Caenorhabditis elegans: one gene and its partners. The protein of the gene in region 2 purifies or fractionates together with the protein of the main gene of each other region. This does not show direct contact. Each region holds a gene or a part of one and is shown on either strand. Other genes may lie near its edges.

What was found. Proteins that work in one complex are often made in the same cells at the same time.
Region 1: the proteins of F55B11.3 (region 2) and F58D5.9 fractionate together in Caenorhabditis elegans (co-fractionation; one large-scale study listed by BioGRID). This does not show direct contact.
Region 3: the proteins of F55B11.3 (region 2) and F09G8.7 fractionate together in Caenorhabditis elegans (co-fractionation; one large-scale study listed by BioGRID). This does not show direct contact.

What each region holds. Positions count from the first base shown.
Region 1 is NC_003279.8:12,042,323-12,050,387, reverse strand, and holds F58D5.9 (Cystatin domain-containing protein), read left to right. Parts: upstream 1-3,769; 5' UTR 3,770-3,794; coding exon 3,795-4,119; intron 4,120-4,363; coding exon 4,364-4,439; intron 4,440-4,490; coding exon 4,491-4,591; intron 4,592-4,991; coding exon 4,992-5,152; 3' UTR 5,153-5,187; downstream 5,188-8,065. Other genes in the region: ksr-2 (Kinase suppressor of Ras B), read left to right, coding at 1-343, 2,212-2,503; F58D5.5 (uncharacterized protein), read right to left, coding at 7,402-7,623.
Region 2 is NC_003282.8:14,420,514-14,427,864, forward strand, and holds F55B11.3 (DUF19 domain-containing protein), read left to right. Parts: upstream 1-4,182; 5' UTR 4,183-4,195; coding exon 4,196-4,342; intron 4,343-4,418; coding exon 4,419-4,640; intron 4,641-4,696; coding exon 4,697-5,023; 3' UTR 5,024-5,056; downstream 5,057-7,351. Other genes in the region: F55B11.7 (BTB domain-containing protein), read right to left, coding at 460-877, 1,259-1,355, 1,403-1,430; F55B11.2 (DUF19 domain-containing protein), read right to left, coding at 1,840-2,127, 2,256-2,480, 2,618-2,767; F55B11.5 (HORMA domain-containing protein), read left to right, coding at 7,182-7,244, 7,314-7,351.
Region 3 is NC_003281.10:8,265,043-8,272,043, forward strand, and holds F09G8.7 (uncharacterized protein), read right to left. Parts: upstream 3,314-7,001; 5' UTR 3,313-3,313; coding exon 3,211-3,312; intron 3,106-3,210; coding exon 2,905-3,105; 3' UTR 2,879-2,904; downstream 1-2,878. Other genes in the region: ncr-2 (NPC intracellular cholesterol transporter 1 homolog 2), read left to right, coding at 62-156, 205-318, 365-646; mrps-9 (Small ribosomal subunit protein uS9m), read left to right, coding at 1,020-1,081, 1,133-1,228, 1,274-1,357, 1,405-1,665, 1,712-1,969, 2,130-2,237, 2,282-2,395, 2,447-2,550 and 1 more; crn-7 (Cell-death-related nuclease 7), read left to right, coding at 3,624-3,718, 3,784-4,201, 4,697-4,877, 4,930-5,039, 5,085-5,210, 5,318-5,491; mps-4 (MinK-related peptide, potassium channel accessory subunit protein 4), read right to left, coding at 5,748-5,803, 6,086-6,204, 6,253-6,353; F09G8.10 (uncharacterized protein), read right to left, coding at 6,403-6,755, 6,841-6,953.

The sequences.
Region 1 (8,065 bases), on a different chromosome or scaffold from region 2:
AACAATTATCCGAAGATTTCGATCAATCGTGGACATTTCAAATTTCGTTGCAAATTTGTCAGGCAATGTCTTATCTGCATAAAAAGAAGATACTTCATCGAGATTTACGAACGAAAAATATTCTTTTGGACAATCCGAATCGAGTCGTTGTTACGGATTTTGCGTTGATGAAGCTTGAGCGGCTGGAGAATCCCCGCAGAAATTGTACACTTTTAATCCCAAATCACTGGATTGACTATCTTTCGCCGGAAATTGCTGGAAATTTGATGATTGATTGGAGGGGTGATGTGTTGTTTCAACATGAACTACCGTTTTCACAAGAATCTGATGTTTATTCGTTTGGGTACGGGGGGATTTTATCGAATTTTTAATTTTTTTTGATTGAAAACCGCTTCCGAAATGCGAAAAATTGCGATTTTTGGCCAGAGGTCTCGCCACGATCGAAACTTCCCCAGCTACAGTCCCTCCGAGAACTTCGAAATTTCTTGGTTTTTTGGGGCGTTTTTCGTAATTTATGAATAAAAATGAGTAAATGTCAAGAAAAAGACAGAATTCAATTTTTGTCGACGTTTTTACTAAAAAGTACGGTATTCAGGGTCTCGCCACGACCGAAACTTTCCAGCTACCGTTCCCACGGGACTTTCGCAGTTTTCCGGATATTTGGCGTATTTTTCAAAATATCGGGAAAACTGCGAAATTCTCGGGGGTACGGTAGCTGGGAATTTTCGATCGTGGCAAGACCCCGGTATTTTGTCGTAAAAATTTCGAAAAAATTGAATTCTGCCATTTTCTTGACATTTACTCATTTTTATTCATAAATTACGAAAAACACACCAAGAAAACCAGGAAATTTCGTATTTTATCGGATTTTTAAGTGAAAACCGCTTTCGAATTGCGAAAAAAAATGCGATTTTTGGCCAGAAAATCCGGTAGCCTTGGGTCTCGCCACAAGAATTCGTTTTTAGAGCTCTTCTCCACGAGGAGTACACGAGCGAGCTGCGTAAATCGACAGCTCTTCCATTTTCAAATTTAATGGAGTTTGGGAGACCGATTTGCAAAATTTCACAAATTTTTACGAAAAACTACGGTAGCTCGGGGTCTCGCCACGATCGAAACTTCCCCAGCTACAGTACCCCCGAGAATTTCGTAATTTTCTTGATATTTGGCGTGTTGTTCGTAATTTATGGACAAAAATAAGTCAATGTCAAGAAAAAGACAGAATTCCATTTTTTTTTCAAAATTTTTACTAAAAAAGACGGTATTCAGGGTCTCGCCATGAACGAAACTTCCCAGCTACCGTACCTACGAGAATTTCGTAATTTTCCTGATATTTGGCGTATTTTTCAAAATATCGGGAAAACTGCGAAATTCTCGGGGGTACGGTAGCTGGGAATTTTCGATCGTGGCGAGACCCGGGCTACCGTTTTTTTTTCGTAAAAATTTGTGAAATTTTGCTAATCGGTGCTCTTCTTTTTAGCGAAAATTAAAAAATGGAAGAGCTGGAGCCTCTCTGTCGATTTACGCAGCTCTCTCGTGTACTCCTCGTGGAGAAGAGCCGAAGATTCTACAGTTTTTAGGTGAAATTCTCGGTTTTGCACCAATTTCGCTAGTTTTCTTCTGTGATTAACATCAAAATCGTCCATTTTTTGCTTATTTCTATGTATTTTGATGAAAATGCGAAAAAAAACACTCAAATTTGGAGTTTTTGACCAGTAAATTCATAAATTATGGATACTGGTCAAAAACTCTAAAATTGAGACTATTTTTGTATTTTTCACCAAAAAATGAACGATTTTGTGTGTTCAATACAAAAAAACCAGTGAAAATGGTCCAAAACTGAGAGTTTTAGCTAAAAATTGGAGAATCTTTACCTCTTCTCCACGAGGAGTACACGAGAGAGCTGCGTAAATCGACACATTGAGAAAAATTTGGAAAAAATCATTAAAAATGAAGATTTTTTCACAAAACTAGTGAAAAAAATCTCAATTTTTGAATATTTTGAGTTAAAAATCGACAATTTTTGAAAAAGCGAAAAAAATTTTTTTTTTAATATTTAAACTTTGAAATTAACACTGAAAAATGCTGCGTAAATCGACATATTGGGAAAAATTTAATAAAAATTAATTTTTTTTCAAAACTAGTCAAAAAACTATCATTTTTTATATTTAAAGTTTTAAAAATCAATAATTTGAAAATTTTCCCAATTTTCAGTACAATTTTCTTCGAACTCCTGCTCCGCCGTATGCCAACGGGCTGTGACTCTTGGGATCAGAAGCTCTACGCGAAAATGTGCGGCCAAAAAGCGGCACTTCAACGGCTCGACGCCCAGCTGCAAAAAATCGACGGAAAATTGCACGAACTGCTGCTGGAATGCTGGTCGAGCCAACCGGAGAAGCGGCCGAGTTTCCAACAAATTGTGAAGCGAATTACAGTTCAAATGCCGAGAAAAGAGTCGAATAAGCAGAAGAGACGCAGCACGGCACACGAGAATCCACTGTTTTAGTGTGTAGAATTATCGATTTTTTATGTACAGAGAGAGAGAGAGAGAAGAGAAAAGAAGAAGAAATTAGACATTTTATCCATTTAAATACCTATATATATATACAAATATTTATCCTATATTCATCCCTGCCCCTGCCATTGATCTTGTTTCATAATCATATCATAGTTTTATCAGAAAAAGAAAAAAAATCCCATTTTTCCATCATTTTTATCCGCGTTTTCCTATTTTCCTCCAAATTTCCCAAATTAATCCCGCCAAAAAAATTTTTTAATTTAAGTTTAATTTCCCGCCGTTTCCCTTCCTGTGCCATCCTTTTTCCCCCCTGAAAAGAAGCAAAAAACGAGTTTTATATACCACAACCGGATTCCTACTATATTAATTCCAATTTTATCCAATGATTTATTTATATTAAATTATATTTTCTTTTTTTCTACCATTTCTGTGCTGCCTTGAAATTTTTTTGTTCCCGCCTTCCTCCCCTGATATATAGTTATATATAGTTTTTCGACAAATTTTCAATTTTCAAATGAAAATATCGACTTTTTAGTTGGAATTTTTTGGGGATTATCCAGGAGTTTTTTACATATTTCATGTAATTTTATTCGCTGAAAATTGATTGAATTTCAGGATTTTCGCGCGAATTTTGGCTGAAATTGGGCATTTTTACGATTTTTCTCTCAAAAACTTGAAAAATTTAATATTTCCCTTTGAAATTTGCAAAATTAGGTTAAATTAAACCTAATTTTGTAAATTTTCGTTAAAAACCGTTAAACAAACCATTTTATTCAGTTTTACAATGAAAAACTAGCCGCGACGCGACACGCGCCGCTCCGTAAATCTACCCCGGCCGTAGCCGAGTCCAAATGGCCTAATTACCGACTTTTGCATAAAAATTGAGTTTTCAACACGATTTTTTCTCTAAAATTTACAACTTTGGAGAAAAATCGTGAAAAAAGCATTTTGGGCAGGTGTGCGCCTTTAAATTACTGTAACTTCGAACTTTGGTTGCTGTGGAATTTTAACCGATTTTTCATAGTTTTTGATTGAAAAAATTCCTACAGTAATCTTTAAAGGCGCACACCTGCTCGCAGTTCAAAAAAGGCGTGGCGAGACCTGGTACCGTAGTTTTGGCGCGAAAATCACAAAATTTGGCGTCTGGGCCTTAGAATAAGCAAGCGCGGCGCGGTTTTTTTTTGAATTTTTCTCTGTAAAATTTTTTTAAAAATCGCAAAATTCAGGATAAAAACGTCTTGGTAATTTTTTTTTCAGATTCCCCAGGAAGACCCTAAAAATGAAATCTCTTCGAGCAACTAACATCACAACGGCCAAAGCCGTCATCATTAAACCTCCCCACCACGTAATTCTCGGCAAGAAGCATCGCCGACGTGTTGGTGGCAATCTTCGGGATACCGCCATTTTCTGCGACTTTCTGACGTCATTTTGCTACGTGGCAATGGAAAGATGCTCGCCGAGCACGGCGGATTGGCCGAAAATGAAGTTTGGACAGGATTATGAGCATTCGAAATGCCCGGATGCACGATTTCAGCGACACGTTGAAGAAAATTGTCAGCTCGCGGAGCAATATATTGCGGCAGGACGATTATTGGCTTTTGAAGGTTTTTGGGCCTAAAATCTAGATTTTTAATTGATTTTATTGTATTTTTTGCTGTAGAAATGCTTTAAAACCCAGAAATAAAACTTGCGCGTCAAATACAATGCACTGCGTACACTTGCGGTGTTTGCACTGAGTGCATTTTAATTGACGCGCAAATCTTTTTTTCTGCATTTTTTTCGAAATTCTTGAATTTTTTAGCTAATTTCAGATGATTTTTGATTAAAAATAACTTGAAATTCTTCCAGTATGCATGGTAACACCGTCGGAAACTCAACTCGTCGGATTTCGTGTCACTATCAGCCGATTGAGGCGCCCTGATGGGTAAATCTTACAGAATTTGATGATTTTTCACTAAAATTTTATAATTTTCAGCCGTAGAAGTCCAAATATCTACGCCAGGCTCTCAGCGATTCTGGAGAAGGTTCGAACGATGGAAATTACGGAAAAATTGGATACAATGATGAGCTCCTGCAGTGAGTTGGCCAAAAAAAAAATCTTCTGAAAATGGGCCAAAATCGACGAAAAAAAAAACCATAAAATATGACTTCTCCAGTCAAAATCGGCAAAAAATGCACCAAAATCGACCAAAATTTACGTAATATTCGCTGAAAATGGTTTTTTAATCCAATTTCCACATATTTCTGAAAATTTTTGTCGATTTAGCTTATTTTCCACCGATTTAAACGGAAAATTCTCAAAAAACGACGAAAATTTGCGAAAAAATGGGAAAAATTCATTAAAAATTGTAAAAAAAATTATTTTTTTATTCAACTTCGCCAGTTTTTTGCAAAAAATTCTATCGATTTTGGCCTATTTTCCAGCGATTTGGGCTAAAAATTCCCAAAAAACGGGAAAAAAATTCAAATTTTCCAGAATATCGCCCTCGAATCCGCCTTCTCGCCCGTCTTCGCCCCCAATCCAAACGGAAAGCCGACAAATCCAAAGTGGCCGATAAATCTCAAACTTTTTCTCTTCCAATTTCAAATTCCATTCGATTAATGTACACTGGAATCTCATTTTATGCTTTTATGTAATTCTGAATTTTTGAAAAAAAACACAATATTTTTTTAGATCACAACGTATTTATTACTTCTTCTTCTTTTCAAGAAAAATAGTCCAGACAAGCCTAATGAGAGCCTGAAAGCCTGGAAATTTTGTCTTGATAGTGATCTATTCGATTTCAGTGAAAAAAATCGCAATCCGTACAGATGGTAGAGGTGGAAATGCGCAAAAAACGCCAAAATCTCAGTGGAAAGTTGGCAAATTTTCGGGAAATCGCAAATTTCGCGAGAGAAATTTGATACTTTTCCCAAAAAATAGCCAAGAAACAGGAAAAAAGATGGAAAAAAAAGTGGGAAGGAATGCGAAAACCTGGGAGATCGAGGTTCGACTCGCGCGAAAATTTAAAAATTAAGGCTTCTGAGAGATTTAAATGAATGGGTGGGTGGGTGAGGGGGAAAATTTAAAATTTTCAAAAAAAACCAATAGACTAGAGAACAAATTTAGCCGGGATTACTGTAGCAGCTAAACTGTGTGGATTATATATATTAAAAGATTATAAGATATTGATAGATATATAGGATTACTGTAGACTGTAGGCTTGGTTACTGTAGGATAGTGTGACCAGACTCGGGGGGATATGAACATTAAAATATGACGTGGCGAGACAGAGAGAGACAGAGAGAGATAGAGTGAGAGAGAGAGAGAGTGGGGGTGCTAACACAGAAATAACGAGACATAGAGAAAAAGAAGAAAAGATGGTACAAAAACAGAGTGAAAATAACCTAAAAAGGTCGATTTTCAGTATGGGGAAAAATGAAAAAAAATGAAAAAAGAAAAATCGATAATAGAGATTTAGAGGCCGCCCATTTTTCTTGGCGAGTTTTCCCAGAAAATATTGAAAAACTAATCGAGAAAAAGTGGCGTGTGACCCGGCCAAAATCAATTTTTGAAGTTGGGTACACACTTGATAATTATTGATTTTTGAGACTGTGAAAATCTCCAAATTTCCGTGGAAAAACAGTTTTTAGGCGAAAAATTTGGTAATTTTCAGTGAAAATCGACTGAAAATGGACAAAAATGTACGAATAATTAGCAAATTTGGCTAAAACTCAAGAAAATCGTAAAAATTCAGTGTAAAAAAAGATTTTGCCCGTCAATTAGAATGCACTCGGTGCAAACACCGCGAGTGTACGCAGTGCATTGTATTTGACGCGCAAGTTTTTTTTCATCGGTTTTTTCACGTTTTGTGCACAAAATCGACAAAAAACTTGGGAAAAAGCCAAAATATCAGAAAAAATCGATAAAATTTAATTTTCAATCAATATTTTGCAAATTTTCAGTCAAAATCGGCTAAAAATGCACTAAAATCGACCGAAAATTGCAAAATAGTGGCAGAAAATCAATTTTTTCCTGTTTTCTGCATTTTTGCAGATTTTCCCACGTTTTTTGCACGAAATCGGCAAAAAAAAAACTCGGAAAAATGTGTTTCGCAATTTTTTGTCGATTTTTACGGAAAATGCACCAAAATTTGCAAAAAAATTGAAAAAACCGTGCAAAATTTGAGAATTTTGGCTATTTTTTCACTAAATAATTCAAAATTTTCGCCGAAAGAAAACCCGTTTTTCCGGGAAATTTGGAGCCATTTTGAGCATTTTTGTGGGGGGCAAAAACCAATAATTAACAAAACATATAAGTGAAAATGGACAAAAAATGGAAGAAAAAGGTGAGGAAAAATCCAATATGTACAGGAAAATCATCACGTTTTGGTGGGGGGGAAAACTAAAGGAAAAAAACGCGAAAAAAAAGATGGGCGGTCTAAAATATCGAATTTCTAAGATTTTTCGGGTCAAAAAATGAAAACGGGACGGGGGAATACCTGTATTTGTACTATCGAATTCCGGGAAAGAAATTTCGAAAAAAAAACCGAAATATCTACAATGGTTCAGAATTTCTAGTAGCACACGGGGATTTCGCGGGGAATTTTTTCGATTTTTTTTTCTCTATTTTAACGAAAAAATCCCCCGCAGCAAGACAAACAAAATATATTGCAAATTAACAAAAAAAAAAGTGAAAATTTTCAAAAAAAGAAGCCAAAACTGTGATAAATTGTTGAGAGAGACGAATATGGATAAGTTTTGCAGGGGAAAATTAGATTATCTCAGTTTTTTAGGGGTTTTTTAGGCTTTTTAAGCCAAAATTTCAGTTCGAAAACCCAAAAAACCCCCCAAAAAATACACTAAAATAATCCAAAAATAAGGGGGAAATCCAGAATCCAGAAGCTTTAAGCCGAGGCGATTGCTGCGATGAGCTGTAGTGGACAGACACGAACTCCGAGCACATCAGTCTTTGGCTTCATCTCTTTTTGAGCAGCACGTCGTGGTGTCATTGTGATCATTGGAGCATCCGATGATGAGAGAGAAGATGTTGACGATGAAGCTGATGACGTCATTGAGATGGATGATGATGGACGGGATGAGTTTTCGAGCTGTCCGGGCACTTGGAGCTGAAAAATTGAGAAATTTTGAGGGATTTTTAGGCTGGAAAATGCAAGAAAATGCACTGGAAAGTGGAAAATTCGGAATTTTCAAAGAACTTTATGCTAGAAATTGTGATTTTGAGCTTAAAATGATTTTTTTTTTGGTAAAAATCGTCTTGGAGCTGAAAATTTGGAATTTTGAGGTTTTTTGAGCTTGAAAATGTCGATTTCAAGGTGAAAATGCTTTTTTTCACTGAAAATTGAAAAAAAAGGGCGAATTTGAATAAAAAATCAGAATTTGAACGGATTTTTATGCTAAAAAAGATAGATTTCGAGCTGAAAACGCCATTTTTTCAGTAAAAATCGACTTGGAGCTGAAAATTTGGAATTTTAAGGTTTTTTGAGCTGGAAAAACCTTTTTTAGCCGAAAAACGAAAAAATTCGAATTTTAAGATTTTTATGCTAGAAT
Region 2 (7,351 bases):
ACTTTTCATATGGAATATGTGAAGCGGGGGAAGATTTAAATTTTTCGCTTACTGTTCAAATGTAACGTAAGTTACTTTTTTTTTTGAAATTTTTCATTGAAGCCTATCTAGCTTTTCTCACAGTTCACGAAATATCCCTATTTTTCAATTGATTAAATAAAGTATTTAACGCATGTCTCGAAAATTGACTCTCAACATTTTCAAAACTTATGATTTTTTTTTTTTGAAAAATATATCTAAAAACAGATTCAATGTTTCCCTACAACATGTACTATACAAATGGAGACTATTTTCAATAAGGATTTTTAAAAAATTTATAATGAAAATGATAATCTAGAAAAAATTGAGGAGATAGTGTGGAAGATAGTGTAGGGGTTTTTATAAAAACTATGTGAAACAGCAGATATTTTCAATTATATTTATTTATTGTTTTGGATGATTTAGTTTGGGATTCCTTACCTTTTTATTCAAAAACATTCGAACTCCCAGCACATTGGCCTCCGTATCATGAATAACTGGATTAAAATTGTACAAATCGAGATATTCCACAAAATCACACAACTCCGCCGATCGAACTATAAAACTGCATTCTAATTCCAGTTTCTGAGTTTTTAAATCATAAAATCCATTGCTGTCTTCAATAATCTTTTCATTTTCTGACATTTCCACATTCAGCTCATTTTCATTCCCTCCAAATGTAAATGTTCCTTTAACTACGATAGAATTATTTGAATTCACGTGGTTTTTGATGGTAAACCCATAATCTATTTGAATCGAGTCAATTTTGTTTGTATCAGTGTTTTTGTTGAGTTCTTTTGACAATTTTAAATTTATTTTGTCGGTTGGCACAGAATTCAAAGTTTCCACGTTAAGTTTCCTGGAAAAATTCCACTGTTTCAAGAAAATTACTTTATAAATTTTCCAATATGATTGATATTCTCACTGAATGTTTTGGGAAAAAAATTAAAAAAAAACACATAAATTTTCAAAGTCAGTGTTCTACAGAAAAATTTTTGAAAAAAATAATATTTACAATTGTATTATTACTCAGTTATTGTTTCAAAATTGCCTTTAAACCTTCGAACTAGAAATATTGAGAAAATTTGCAAAAAAATAAGAAAAAAAAATGCGGTTTCACGAAACTTTCTAATTTTGAAGAGGTTTGCAAAGGCAGTTCCTGCCTCTCATATCGATTTTAATAAAAAAAATATATTTTCTCTTAAATTCACCTTTTTTATTTAAAATCAAAACCTCTTACCACTTCACATTATGAATATTTCGAATTCGAAACGAATAATTTGTGGAGCTCTTGGGTACGTGCAAAATGGTGGAATGAGATCCCAGTGGAAAATGCTCTGAAATTAAACATTTTTAATCAGAGAAAAACATTTAAAGAGCTTACCCGGCGGTTTTCGAAGATTTTCTTTCATTACCAAAATGTATCAATGGTGGTAAAAATAAATAAATTGAGAAATAAGCAAAGGTGACGTGGAAGATGTAATGTGATATTATTCCACGTGAAGTGGCCTTTTTTTTTTGAAATTTTGTCACGCATTTTTTTATTAATAAAATGAACGGAAAAAAGAAGGACGTGTTTTTCTTGCTTTCCATTTTGTGGGTGGAGCCTAGTCAAATATTCTATTAAAAAAATGTGCTGAAAAATTGTCATGAACTATGAAATTGGAATTCCATTTCGAGATTCGAAAATACGGCCCTCAAAAAGTTTTGAGTAATTGAATTAGGACAATTATTTTCAAAATATTAATTTACTGTTTCAGAACTATGTGATAAAAAATCTTCATTCCGTTAAGGAATTTTGCACTTTTTTAAACACAATTATTAAGCACGGCAATAGTTGTTATCACTGAAGCTCCGTTCAACTTGTACTCCCTTCACGAACTTTAACAATGAGTAATACAAATCAAGTCCGGCCTCTCCAGCATGGTACAACTCGACAATTCGATCGATGGTGCAGGATGGAGTCTCGTACATCTTTTTGGCCATACATTCAACTATTGGTTGTGCTATCTTTTTGTAGGCACTTTCATCATTTAAAACGTTTTCGTGGATATTCCGGGGCTGTTGATTTTCCGCTGCACAGATTTGGAATGTTTCGATTGCGTTAACCTGAAATTTTATCTAATAGTTTTCTGAAAAATAGTTTTCTGTTTCATCATTTTGATGAATACTTGTTTTCATTCTGAAAATAATTTCGTAAAGATTTTCGTAAACCTGTTTCAAAATAGATTCCTTACATTTATGAAACAGTGGAAAGCGTCTCCATAAACTTTCTTGCCAATGTATTGGGCATAATCCAATGAAGTAACTACAATCTTTGGTAGTGTGCACTTGAAGTCTCTTTTTTCTTCTCCCAGACAGATGGTCACATTCTCAACAAGTTGAAGTCCTTTATTCATCAAACCAATGTTGTAAAGTGTTGATATAGAATTCAGTTTTGGGTAGACTTCTCTGATTAGTTCCTGAAATTCCAATTTTTCCGAGCTGAAACAGGTTCAACTAAGGAACCCGCGTAGTGTCGGGCGCTATATAACACTTTGGTGTCAAATTACCATTTCAGCATTTACTCTGGAATTCTTCAATATCCTGGAAAACTTACAAAATGTGGCTGAGCGCATGCCAGAATTTTTTTGAATTCTTCGGAGCATGACGGATTATCTGATGCATGCTTCAAAAAATCGTCCAAGAAGTCGGCAACTGTTACAGTTGGAAAAGCAAGGAAAAGCACAAAAAGTACAGTTTTCGACATGGTTTTCAGTGAGGAATATTGATATTGTTGCGCCCATTTTATAGAGGATTCGTTTCAAAACATAACTCTGAAAATAAAGGGAAACGTTCAGGAGAAAATGTTTTTAAAAATGAATGAAATCATAGGAAACAAAAACTCTGAATCATATTGATAACAATGTACCATTGAGAGAAAAAACTTTACAAATATTTCTGTTTCAAAATTTTAATAATTTGGGTGGAAAATGTCTAGAATTGTTGGTCCGTTCTTCATCTGACATCTTGAACTTATTTAACTTCTTTAAGACTTATCAAAAATATATAATTTTTTTTTAAATGTTTTATTTTTACACCGAAAATAATATCATTGTTTCGAGTGCATTTCAATTTATGCCAATAAATGGGAAAGAAAGTATATGGAGACGAGTTCAAATGCTTCCGAGATGTAAGTAAGGCTAATGTGTGTGTGTTTTTTTTAAATGTATAATATTATTCATGAAATAACTATGAAATTAATAATACTAATGTACTAATAATACTAGTATAATTCTTGAAACCGTAAATCTGTTAACTTTTGGCAGAAAAGAAATATTCAATCAACTGGAAGTTCAACGATCTTTTTATTTTATAACCTCAAAATTTGAATTTAAAAAAGTCAACTATGGTTTCATTAAAATGTATTTTATTTTTTTGCATAATTTGAACAGTTGAACTAATAAATTATCTAATGAACTTTTAAAGAATTTTAATAACCGTTTAACATGATGCAGCGAAGTCATGGGTGTCGATTTTTCCGATTTTTTGATTTTTCGAAAAATATTTCAAAACATTTGACCATTTTTTTTATAGAAAACATTATATACTTTAGTTTTTTCATTAACAACAACAGAATTTGATGAAAAATTGAATTTTATCGTTGCTTTTCTGAGATTTTTTTTTTTGATTTTTTTAAGTTTATCGAATCAAAGGAAACTACGCTACTATTGGAAGGAGCTTGAAACAATTTTTTTGAAAATTTCACATGTGAAACTTGTATGAGAAGTTTCAAAAATGTGTGCTATACCACAGCTATATCATTAAACTTGTCAGAAAATTTTTTTATGATTATATTTGTGAAACAAAATTTTTATTCGCCAGAAATTAAATAAAGAAACAAATTATGCTCAATTTTGAAAACATACAAAAAATTATCACAGATTCAAGTATTCTTCAATTTGCCTTAACTTTTCTTAAAAATGTTGAACTTCTTTCCTAGTATCCGTCTAAATTTTGAATCAGATTTTTTTTCCAAAAATACATTTTGCATTTATATCGAATCTCGATTTACAGTGGATTTGTCATGTTTTTAATTCAACCCTGATTTTTCCGATCTTTTCATAGAGTTTGTTTTTAAAAATGAAACAATATAAAAAGGGAATCAATTCAGTTGTGTTCCTCACACCAAATCCCAATGCTGAAATATTGTCTTCTCGTGCTTTTCCTTGGTTTTCCAAGTGCTACAGCCGACTATTACGATGTGTTATTGGAAACTTCCATGGAAAATTCGACATGCGGAGAAGAATCTCATAAAATTTTCATGTGTCTACTTCCGCATTATGTAAGTTGTACTTTATATCTACCAGCCCGGCAGATGTCGGCCGCGCGAATTATAAGTTTCCATCCGAGATTTTCAGAGGTACATAGAGTCCGTGTTCCCAGTCCTGGAATATAAATCTCTCTCTGATTATAAATTGGTGAGCCTTCAACTTGCACATCTTCAATTTGTCGTGGACTGTTTGAAATTAGAAACCACCGAATACACGTGTGAACTACCACAAGTCACCATTTCCCTGATGAAACGTTCCCTATCGGTGGGAATGAAGATTGATGGAGACGCGTTCATGTGCTTCCGAGATGTAAGTTGACTTAAGTATTTATATAATTCTTGAAACCGCAATATTTAAATGTTCAGGCCGACATTGCCAAAGCCTCTGAACACTGCGAAAAGTCAGCCCGAGTCTTTGAGGAAAAAGTCGAAGTTTTGCCAAAAGACAAGTCGGATTCGGTAAAGGAAATCAATCCAATGGTGGACTGTATTGCCAAAAAACTTAAGGACACTCCATCATGCACTAGAAGTCAAATTGAGGTTCTGTATTTGGTTGCAGGTGCAACTAGTGATCACGTTTATACGGAAAGTTTGACTGAAAAGGAAGTCCCAGTTAGTTCGACAGAAAAAGCAGTTCCAGGTTTGGTAGAAAGGGCAAATCCAACCAAGTGGAGTGAGATGAAACATCAGTGATATTAAATATAGTTTGTGATAAATGCATTTATGAAATGACAATTTTTTTTTACCAGCCGTGGTCCGCACCTCCGGCGCGGCCCCCGACTTCTGGAGCTGAAAACTAATTTTTTTGAAGCTACCGTAATCATACAGTACTCCTACCGTACCACTATTGTACCACTACAGTACCCTGACTATATCCCTACACTAAGCCCAACTCACTATCCCTCCAGAAGCCAAAACGTCACAGACTACAAAGACTACATAGACTACAAACTATGGACAAACGGAATAAGCGCTTTATATATAGTAAATGATAGTTGAAGGTTTTTTTTTTGCTTTAAATGACAGAAATTAGACTCTAATAACCGAATACAACAGTAAAAAGTTCAAAAAATTTCAAAAAATTGTCAAGGATATGACAGAAGACACATTGAACATAATTGGATTAGAAAATAATTTGGAATTGAAGAGGAAGCGGGTTTTTTGTAACCACGGAATGCAATGCAAAAGGCAGAAGTTTTTGGAATTTTTTTTTGAATTGAAATTTTGGAATATGTGACAGTTGAAGCAGTTTTTCTCAGATAGAACAATTTAGGTTTGTGGGGGAACCATTTAAATTTATGAAAATATAGAAGGGAACCTAAAAAGCTGAAGAAACTCCGAAAAGATTTTCCGCTAACATTTGGTGAAACAGGAATACTTTTTGAAAAAAATTACATTTCTACCGAATAATCTATTTTAATGACTAAAATATACAGATACCAATACTCTAATTTAACTCGCCCTCCATTTGTTAAACACAAATCCCAAAAACTCGCCTTTAAGCAGCTTGTTTCCATATTTTCAGACCCTTCCAACATGGTTTTGAAAATACTGTTTTCTATAATATTTCTTGCAAAATACGCATATCTGGCACCCACAGATGAGATTTGTCAGTTGGGATCGTCGAGAAGCTGTGTGATTGCTCTGAAGTTAGCTGTGGAAAAGTCCTCATCAGGTTACTGTACGGATATTGAAGTGAGTTTTTGAAACATTTAATAAAAAACACGGATGAAACAATAAAATACATTTACAGAGATACTGTAACGATGAGAACAAGTATTGCTTTGCTGGATATTCGAAAAGTATAGACCAAATCTGTGGGCTCGCAAAGGTCAGAAGAAATGAACCGACGTCATTAAAACCCACGCGCCCGACGATTCCAACAAAATTAACTACCACGCCCTCTGAACTATCAACCACCACAGCTTCTGTACCGACAACCACAACATCGGTACCAACTACCACGACTACCGTACCAACTACCACAACTACCGTACCAACTACCACAACTACCGTATCAACTACCACAACTACCGTACCAACTACCACAACTACCGTACCAACTACCACAACTACCGTATCAACTACCACAACTACCGTACCAACTACCACAACTACCGTACCAACTACCACAACTACCGTACCAACTACCACAACTACCGTACCAACTACCACAACATCGGTACCAACTACCACGACTACCGTACCAACTACCACAACTACCGTACCAACTACCACAACTACCGTATCAACTACCACAACTACCGTACCAACTACCACAACTACCGTATCAACTACCACAACTACCGTACCAACTACCACAACTACCGTACCAACTACCACAACTACCGTACCAACTACCACAACTACCGTACCAACTACCACAACATCGGTACCAACTACCACGACTACCGTACCAACTACCACAACTACCGTACCAACTACCACAACTACCGTATCAACTACCACAACTACCGTACCAACTACCACAACTACCGTACCAACTACCACAACTACCGTATCAACTACCACAACTACCGTACCAACTACCACAACTACCGTACCAACTACCACAACTACCGTATCAACTACCACAACTACCGTACCAACTACCACAACTACCGCACCAACTACCACAACTACCGTACCAACTACCACAACTACCGTACCAACTACCACAACTACCGTATCAACTACCACAACTACCGTACCAACTACCACAACCACCGTACCTACTACCACGACTACCGTACCTACTACCACAACTACCGTACCTACTACCACGACGCCTGTGCTTTTTGTGTACACAGAGCCCACAACCGACTATTACGATGTGTTATTAGAAGCTTCCATGGAAAATTCGACATGCGGAGAAGAATCTCATAGAATTTTCATGTGTCTACTTCTGCATTATGTAAGTTGTATTTTATATCTACCAGCCCAGCAGCGGTGTGAATTTTAATTTCTCATCCGAGATTTTCAGAGGTACATAAGGTCCGTGTTCCCAGTCCTGGAATATAA
Region 3 (7,001 bases), on a different chromosome or scaffold from region 2:
GGAAGAAGGGATATGTAGGGCACATGACGTTGTGTAAGATAGTTGATTTAGACATTTTCAGTATTTGTACTCCTCTCATCATATCTTCACTTGATGGAATGGATGTATCTACTCGGAATCACAGTGAATGTAGTATCAGTTATCAATATGGCAATGGTAAATTCATATTTTGGTAGACACCTATAGGTAATTTAAGATTTTCAGTCTCTTGGAATCGCTGTTGAGTTTTTTGGGCAAATGCTACATGGATTCTATAACTCAAAAAAACCGAAAAGGGAAGAAAGAGCATTCGCTGCACTTGTCAGTAATGGATCTACGGTAACTTTACCAATTGTCTTCATATTCTAGATTCAAATACATTTAGACATTGTCCGGAATCTTCCCTGCTATCATGATCACCGCTGGATGTCTTTCATTTGCTGATTCTCGTGTGCTCATCACATACTTCTGCAATCAACTTGTTGGAATTGGTCTTGTTTGTGCAGTTCATGGAGTTGTTTACATGCCAACACTTTTGGCAATTTTCGGATCGGATTTCTATCAGAATGTGAGCAGTGAAGAAGAATCAACCGATGAAGCAGAACTGCAGGATACTCCTCCATCGACCACATCAAGTACTTCCAGCACTTCTGAAACATCTGTCTGATTCCTTTCATTCTCTTTTGTACATTTTCTAATCATTCCCGTATAGAATGATCTCTATGTTCGTTTACAATGTGTATGAATCCCTCTGAATCATATTTATAATAAAATGTGTTCTATGTGTGCTTTTTATTATAAGATCATTTTTTTAAGGAATTCCTCAATACGAAATAATATGTTTAACACGAATGTAATGTGGCCACTAAAAATTGCAAGAAAAACTGAGTGATGCATTCGCGCTCCATTGACAAACAATTTCTCTTTCACTAAAAATTTTCAAGATGCGAGCTCAATTTTGCATAAATTACTTTATAAATACTAAATTCCGTTATTTTCAAACGTATTTTAATTTATTAATTTATTTATTCCGATTTCAGATGCTCAGAATAGTCTTAGCCCGCTCAAGTAGAGCAATGAGCTCTGCTTCGCCAGCGTCTGCGTAAGTATCATTCGTTTCTCTTATTTCTTTCAATAAATAATCGTGTTTCAGGTCAGATAGCGACACTTCAGTTCGAAAAATTGGTAAAGCACTGGAAACTTATTTGAAACACAGTCAACAACATGTGGCGATGATGGAGAAACACAGGTTTATCGATTTTTGAAGTGAAAATCGTTAATAAAGCATTTTAAGAGCAGAGTTCGAGACAGGACGTCGACATCTTGCCAAAATGATGAGTCTTGACATTCATGAACTCGATCAAGAGGCAATTGACAGGTTTTGTAACAGTGTTTTGTCATATTTATCATAATTGGCATTTTCAGAGCAATCCTATATTTATTTCCTTCTGGATTAACCGACCCAAATGCTCGTCCAGTTATGAGACCACCAGATGAAATTCTTCCAAAATTCCAAAGATTCACATTTGACGAAGAAGGAAAACCAGAAGGATCCCGATTTTTCACATTAAGTCCAAAAATTTACGGGCTTTTGTCGGATATTGGAGTCAAAACGCATTCTGTTATGAAGTTTTATGATGAACATGTTGGAAGTCGATCGGTAAATCGAAGTGATTTGGAACCAGCGTAATTAGTAACCATTTTTTCTACTGAAACATTTATTAATTTTCAGAAATCTGAGCGGTTCTCAATGGGTTACAGCTGACAAATTGAAGAAAAAGCTCTCGGAAAAATTTTCAAAAGAATTGTACGGACAAGTCATCATTGCATTTGAGCATCTTGCTTCATTACCAGGATCAGCTATTGAACAAAAGTTTTTGATGGAATTCAGAGAGCCAATGACCGCTTCAACTGGATCCAAATTGTTCGGTCCTGCGATTCCTGAAGTGCATGTTTGTGCAGTGACCAACAGAAGATATGCAGAAGTGACGTGAGTTGTCCTTCTTTTAAAAGACAGCAGAGAATTTTTGCCAAAAATCTAATGATTTGATAACCTTAAAATTAGTTTTGCCATTAAAAATACTTGTAATTTTTAATTAAACAAATTTTCTCTAATTGTAAACTGAATAATTGAACAGTTTTTTTTTCAGAACACGATGTAAAGATACTCGTGCTACAGTTAAGGTCACAGACGCAGGAAAAGGAAAATTCGATATTGATGGTCTCCAATTGCACGATTTCAGGCATCTTCAAGCCAGGTATATTTTGCGAACATCGAATTTTTCTGATAACATAATTTCAGAGAGATTCTTCTTGCACCAATGATTGTCAGTCAGTCTCTCGGTCGATTTGATGTAACAGCGACAACTTCATGTATTTCTAATACTCTTCCAGAAGCACCAAACAAGGCGCCATTGTGAGACTATTAAAATTTGTTACTCTGCAACAGTATAATCACTTTCTGCAGAATGCGAAGTGGAGGAATGAGTGCTCTACCGCGTGCTGTTCGCCATGGAACTGCACTTTGTGTTGCCGCTTTGCAACCAGAAGCTATCGAACCACTAAGATTATGTAAGGACATTTATTTTGTAAAAAACTTATAAATTCCTAAATTACAGCTGGACTTCTAACACTGGACCCACGGAAAAACGAAAGAAGCAAGGTGAATCAACCGGGTGCTCGTGCTAAATGGATCTGGAAACGTCGTTAATTTATGAATACCCACTTTAATTTTGTTTTTGTTAATTGGTAGGAAGTTTTCAACTAGAATTCTTGTTTTTATTGTTTTTTTAGACTTTTGAAAAATGAAATTTATAAAATAGAAAAGCATACATAACGAGACATCAATTCAAAAATGGGTTTGGTTACTTTTCAGGGAAGGAATGCACTGGGGGGGGGGGGGGGGGAGGTAAAGTGAGTAAGTTTTTAATCAGTATCTACACGTTTCTTGAGGATGCAAAAGTGTCCGCCGATTTGGAACATTTCAATTTGGAAGTCGTCGTATTGAACTTGGATCGTGTGCACTTTTAGATCACGGAGTTCAGTTCCTTGAGTTCGAGTTGCCATTCGCATTGCATTGTAGGCAATTTGACGAGGGTTCTCCGCTTCGAGGAAAGTGCTGTGGGCCTGGAAAATTTTTTAATTAAAATTTCTTACCAAAAAAATGTGTAAATTTATATTTAGAATTGAGCAACAAGTATTTTTTCTAGAAATTATTTTATAAAATCTTACAATTGTATTTCCTTTGCAAATCATGAAAGCGAGGACTCCGGGAATCTGCTGAAGGTTTTCCAATGTGTACTTTGGCTTGGACTTTTTGTTTGATTTGCTCATTCTGGAAAAAAACGTCATTTTTGTATAATTAATCAAGAGCAGATGAGGAAGAATAAAACAGTGCAAAATAAATATGGAGCAAACATGACTCGTGAGCATTTCTGGTCAAAAATACATTAGGCCACGGCCACCACTTTACACTTGAAAAATTTCGGTCAATACATACATCACGGCTGTTTTGGACGAGAAGAGACAGAGATCGTCAAACAGAAAAAAACTGAGAGAAAGAAACGAAGAAAAAATATCGTTTTTTTCAGAAAGTGGGTCGATGATGATGGGAATGAATGAAACAATTCAGTAGGTGGTGAGAGATGCGATTATATTTTGTTCTTATATTTTCTGTGATTTTTACAACTGGAAATGGCAAAATTCAGTGCAAGAATATGCGTGGAAAATCTGTGGACTGGTGAGTATTCTTACTCTTAGGCTTCATGCCTTCAGAAAAATTAATCTGAAACCAAAAAACTTCAGGTTTGTCGTTTATAAACTTCCAAAACTTTCCGGCGCTGGAACATCTGGAAAAGAATTTGTTTATTTCGATGCCGAATCATCAGATTGGACACGTGGAAATGACATAAATGATCCAAATGTTGCTGTGGGAGCAACAGTTTCCCAAGTGTATTCTGCTGATAAATCAAACAATTTTTGGTTCATGTACAGTGATGATGATCCTATAAAGTCAGCTGATTCATATAGAGGACATGCGAAAGGAGTATCACTTTTTGATTCAACTACTGGATTTTGGTTAATTCATAGTGTACCGAATTTTCCACCCATCAAAAGCTTTTCCTATCCGAACACGGCTGAGAAATATGGACAATCATTTTTCTGCGCATCAATGGAAGTTCAACATCTAACAGAGCTCGCAGAGCATTGGAAATATATTCAGGTATGTTTAGAAAAACCTGTTATAAAGTTTTTTAAAGCTACTTTTGAACGAATTTTGACTGCCTGGCTTATAAATCTAAAAGACGCATGAAAAAGTTAACAACAAATTTTTCAACTGATTGTTTATAAAGTTTCCTAGCTTTTCAAACACTAATAAGAAAATAAAATCGACTGATATAATTATATAAAATTCAAAAGATAAACAAAGAAAAAGAACAAGAAAAACCGTTCAAGTAAACGCGCTCCATTGATAATAGAAGCTTATGGTAGTCGGCGTGGCTTAAGATTACAAGCACAGAAATAGTTTTACGAGTATCAAAAAGAGTGAAACTTAACGGATTTGACCGGATTGAGCCAGATGGGTAAATTCTGAAAAAAAAATCAAAAAATAAATAATCGAGTCGCTTAATATAAATTAAATTTTTGGCGAGTAATCGCTTCATTGATAACATTTTAAGCGGAAATTTGAATTTTAGTAACTGTAGCATACTTTCAGGCGACTCCCTACATAATAAATATACCGGAAAAATATGCAACTCGATTCCCTACATTGAAAAATGTTGAAGCTAAACAAAGTCTGCCACGTTCAGCCACTCAATTTTGGATCTCAAAGCCGATTAAAACCGTACAAGGAGTTACATTGATGGCCTACGCCAAACATAAAAAGTTTGATGGAGGTAAATTGGAAAATTATATTTAAAACTGTAATAGGGCTATGAGCTTAAACAGATATTTGGAATGATTTGATATCCCGCCAAAATAAAGTAACACTAGCAGTGGAGAGTTGGTTGAATGGCAGTGGAGACGATATTCATACAACTTGTACGAGTACTAGTCAGGTATGAAATTGATAATTTCAGACGTGAAATAAATCAGAATTTCAGACTCATGACGTCACAGAAATGCGTGTAACCGGGCTGAACTTCGCGAGCTCGAAGGATCATTCGAAATGGGCGGTTTCAAATTCTCAGACCAATCCGATTGTTTGTTTTGGAGATATGAATAGGCAGGTTGGTCACATATCGTTTTTTAAGGATCACAGACTCGCCACGAAAAACATTCAATCATAAACTTGAAGAGTATTCATAAAGTGAAATAGCACACTTTTTGTTTTCAGAAATCACAACTGAAACGTGGCGGTGGAGCATTGTGCATTCAAAATAGAAATCTTTGGCAATTATATCATTCTTTTGTTATTCAAGTTGAACCGTGTAAATCTTCTTCTCATTTTTCCATGTTCCAAACAATTGCCACTCTCCTTTCCGCAGCCGGCCTGGTATCAAAGATTTGAAAAGAAAAATGGCCAAAAAAAGTTGGGCGAAAAATTCCAAACTATTAAGGCCAAGCTTCTTCAAAGTACTCAGTTATCTATATTTCAGAATGTACTCCTCTGAAAATTGAACCTCTTTTTGTTGCTTTAACATAAATTAATTGCGGGTGAATTATAACACTTCTGTTTGACAACAAAACTAACAAATTTTAATTTCTAAAAACTTCATAGTCAGAAAAAAAATTAAAAAATAACTTAAAATAATTATCAAAATCTTCTAGTCTGTTCTCTGCCAAAAATTTGTTCTCGGGTAATAGACACGATGCTTTGGATCTGAAAATTAGTATTTTTTATAAATACCAAGTAATCATGTGTAGTCAGAGTATTCCATAGTTATTTAGCGTCTGAAACATGTGGTAACCTCATTTTTTGGCAGTAGGACGTCTCAGGCCCGTAAATTAACACGGAGTTCGGTAGAGCGTCGCCAACTTTCGCGGTAACGTAATATAGAAAATAAGAAAACAGCGACGTCATAATTCCTAAAAAATGAGGCTGATATGTTTTCCAAAGCCCAGACCAACACTCTATATATAAAATCAAATATATAAAGCTTACCAGGCCGAGAAGAATTCAACAAAACTTCAATCCAAATAAGTAAATATACTAGACAAAGGAACACAAAAGTCATGATGATGACGAGTAGAAAATCAAAGTATTTGGTAGGATAGGAGATGCTGAAATTTGTTTTTTAAATCTTAACAAATAAGAAAAAGAAAAATTACCGATTACATGAGGAGCTCCATTGAAGAAATTCTTCAATTAGGTATTTATAATTGAACGAAGAACTGGCGTAGTTGTTGATATTTTCTTTTGGAAAAGTCATGGTTTTTCAGAAAAGAATATCAAAAAGTAAATTTTATAAAATATTAATTTCAAAATTGTGCACATAACGTGACAATACATAATCCACATTCTCTTTTACAATATGCACATGCTCCTTGTTGCTCTTTTCCTTCTTTATGTATTTTATCCGGAATCGTCACGATTGTTGGCTGAACTGTAATTGGAGCAATTTTCTGAGATGGCAGTTTTGGTTTCTGTGGTTTTGGTGGCGGCGAAGAAGCTGGAAGTTCGGGAGAAGGAAGTGCAAATTTCACTTTCTTTTCAGGTTCCAGATCTTCTTTTGTTGTTTCGGTAGTTGGTTTTCGAACCGGAGATGGTGTTCTTCTATAATTGTCCCCAATTGGACCTCGATCGAAATCAGTTAGAGTTCCTAGTTCAGAGGCTAAAAAGTTAAAAATAAACAAGTTGAAATACAAGACCCATGCTTCTGAGATTGTGGCCGACATATTAAAAGAAATCGATCATACATTTTGGACAACACCAACAAGCATCGGAATTTCTCATCACACAAAATAAATCACCATCTCCATCATCATGAATCTCGAAAACGTGGTTAATCGAGAGTCCATTTGAGAATAACCTGGAAAAGACAGAGTTAATGAACTCATATCATATTAATTCAACTTGC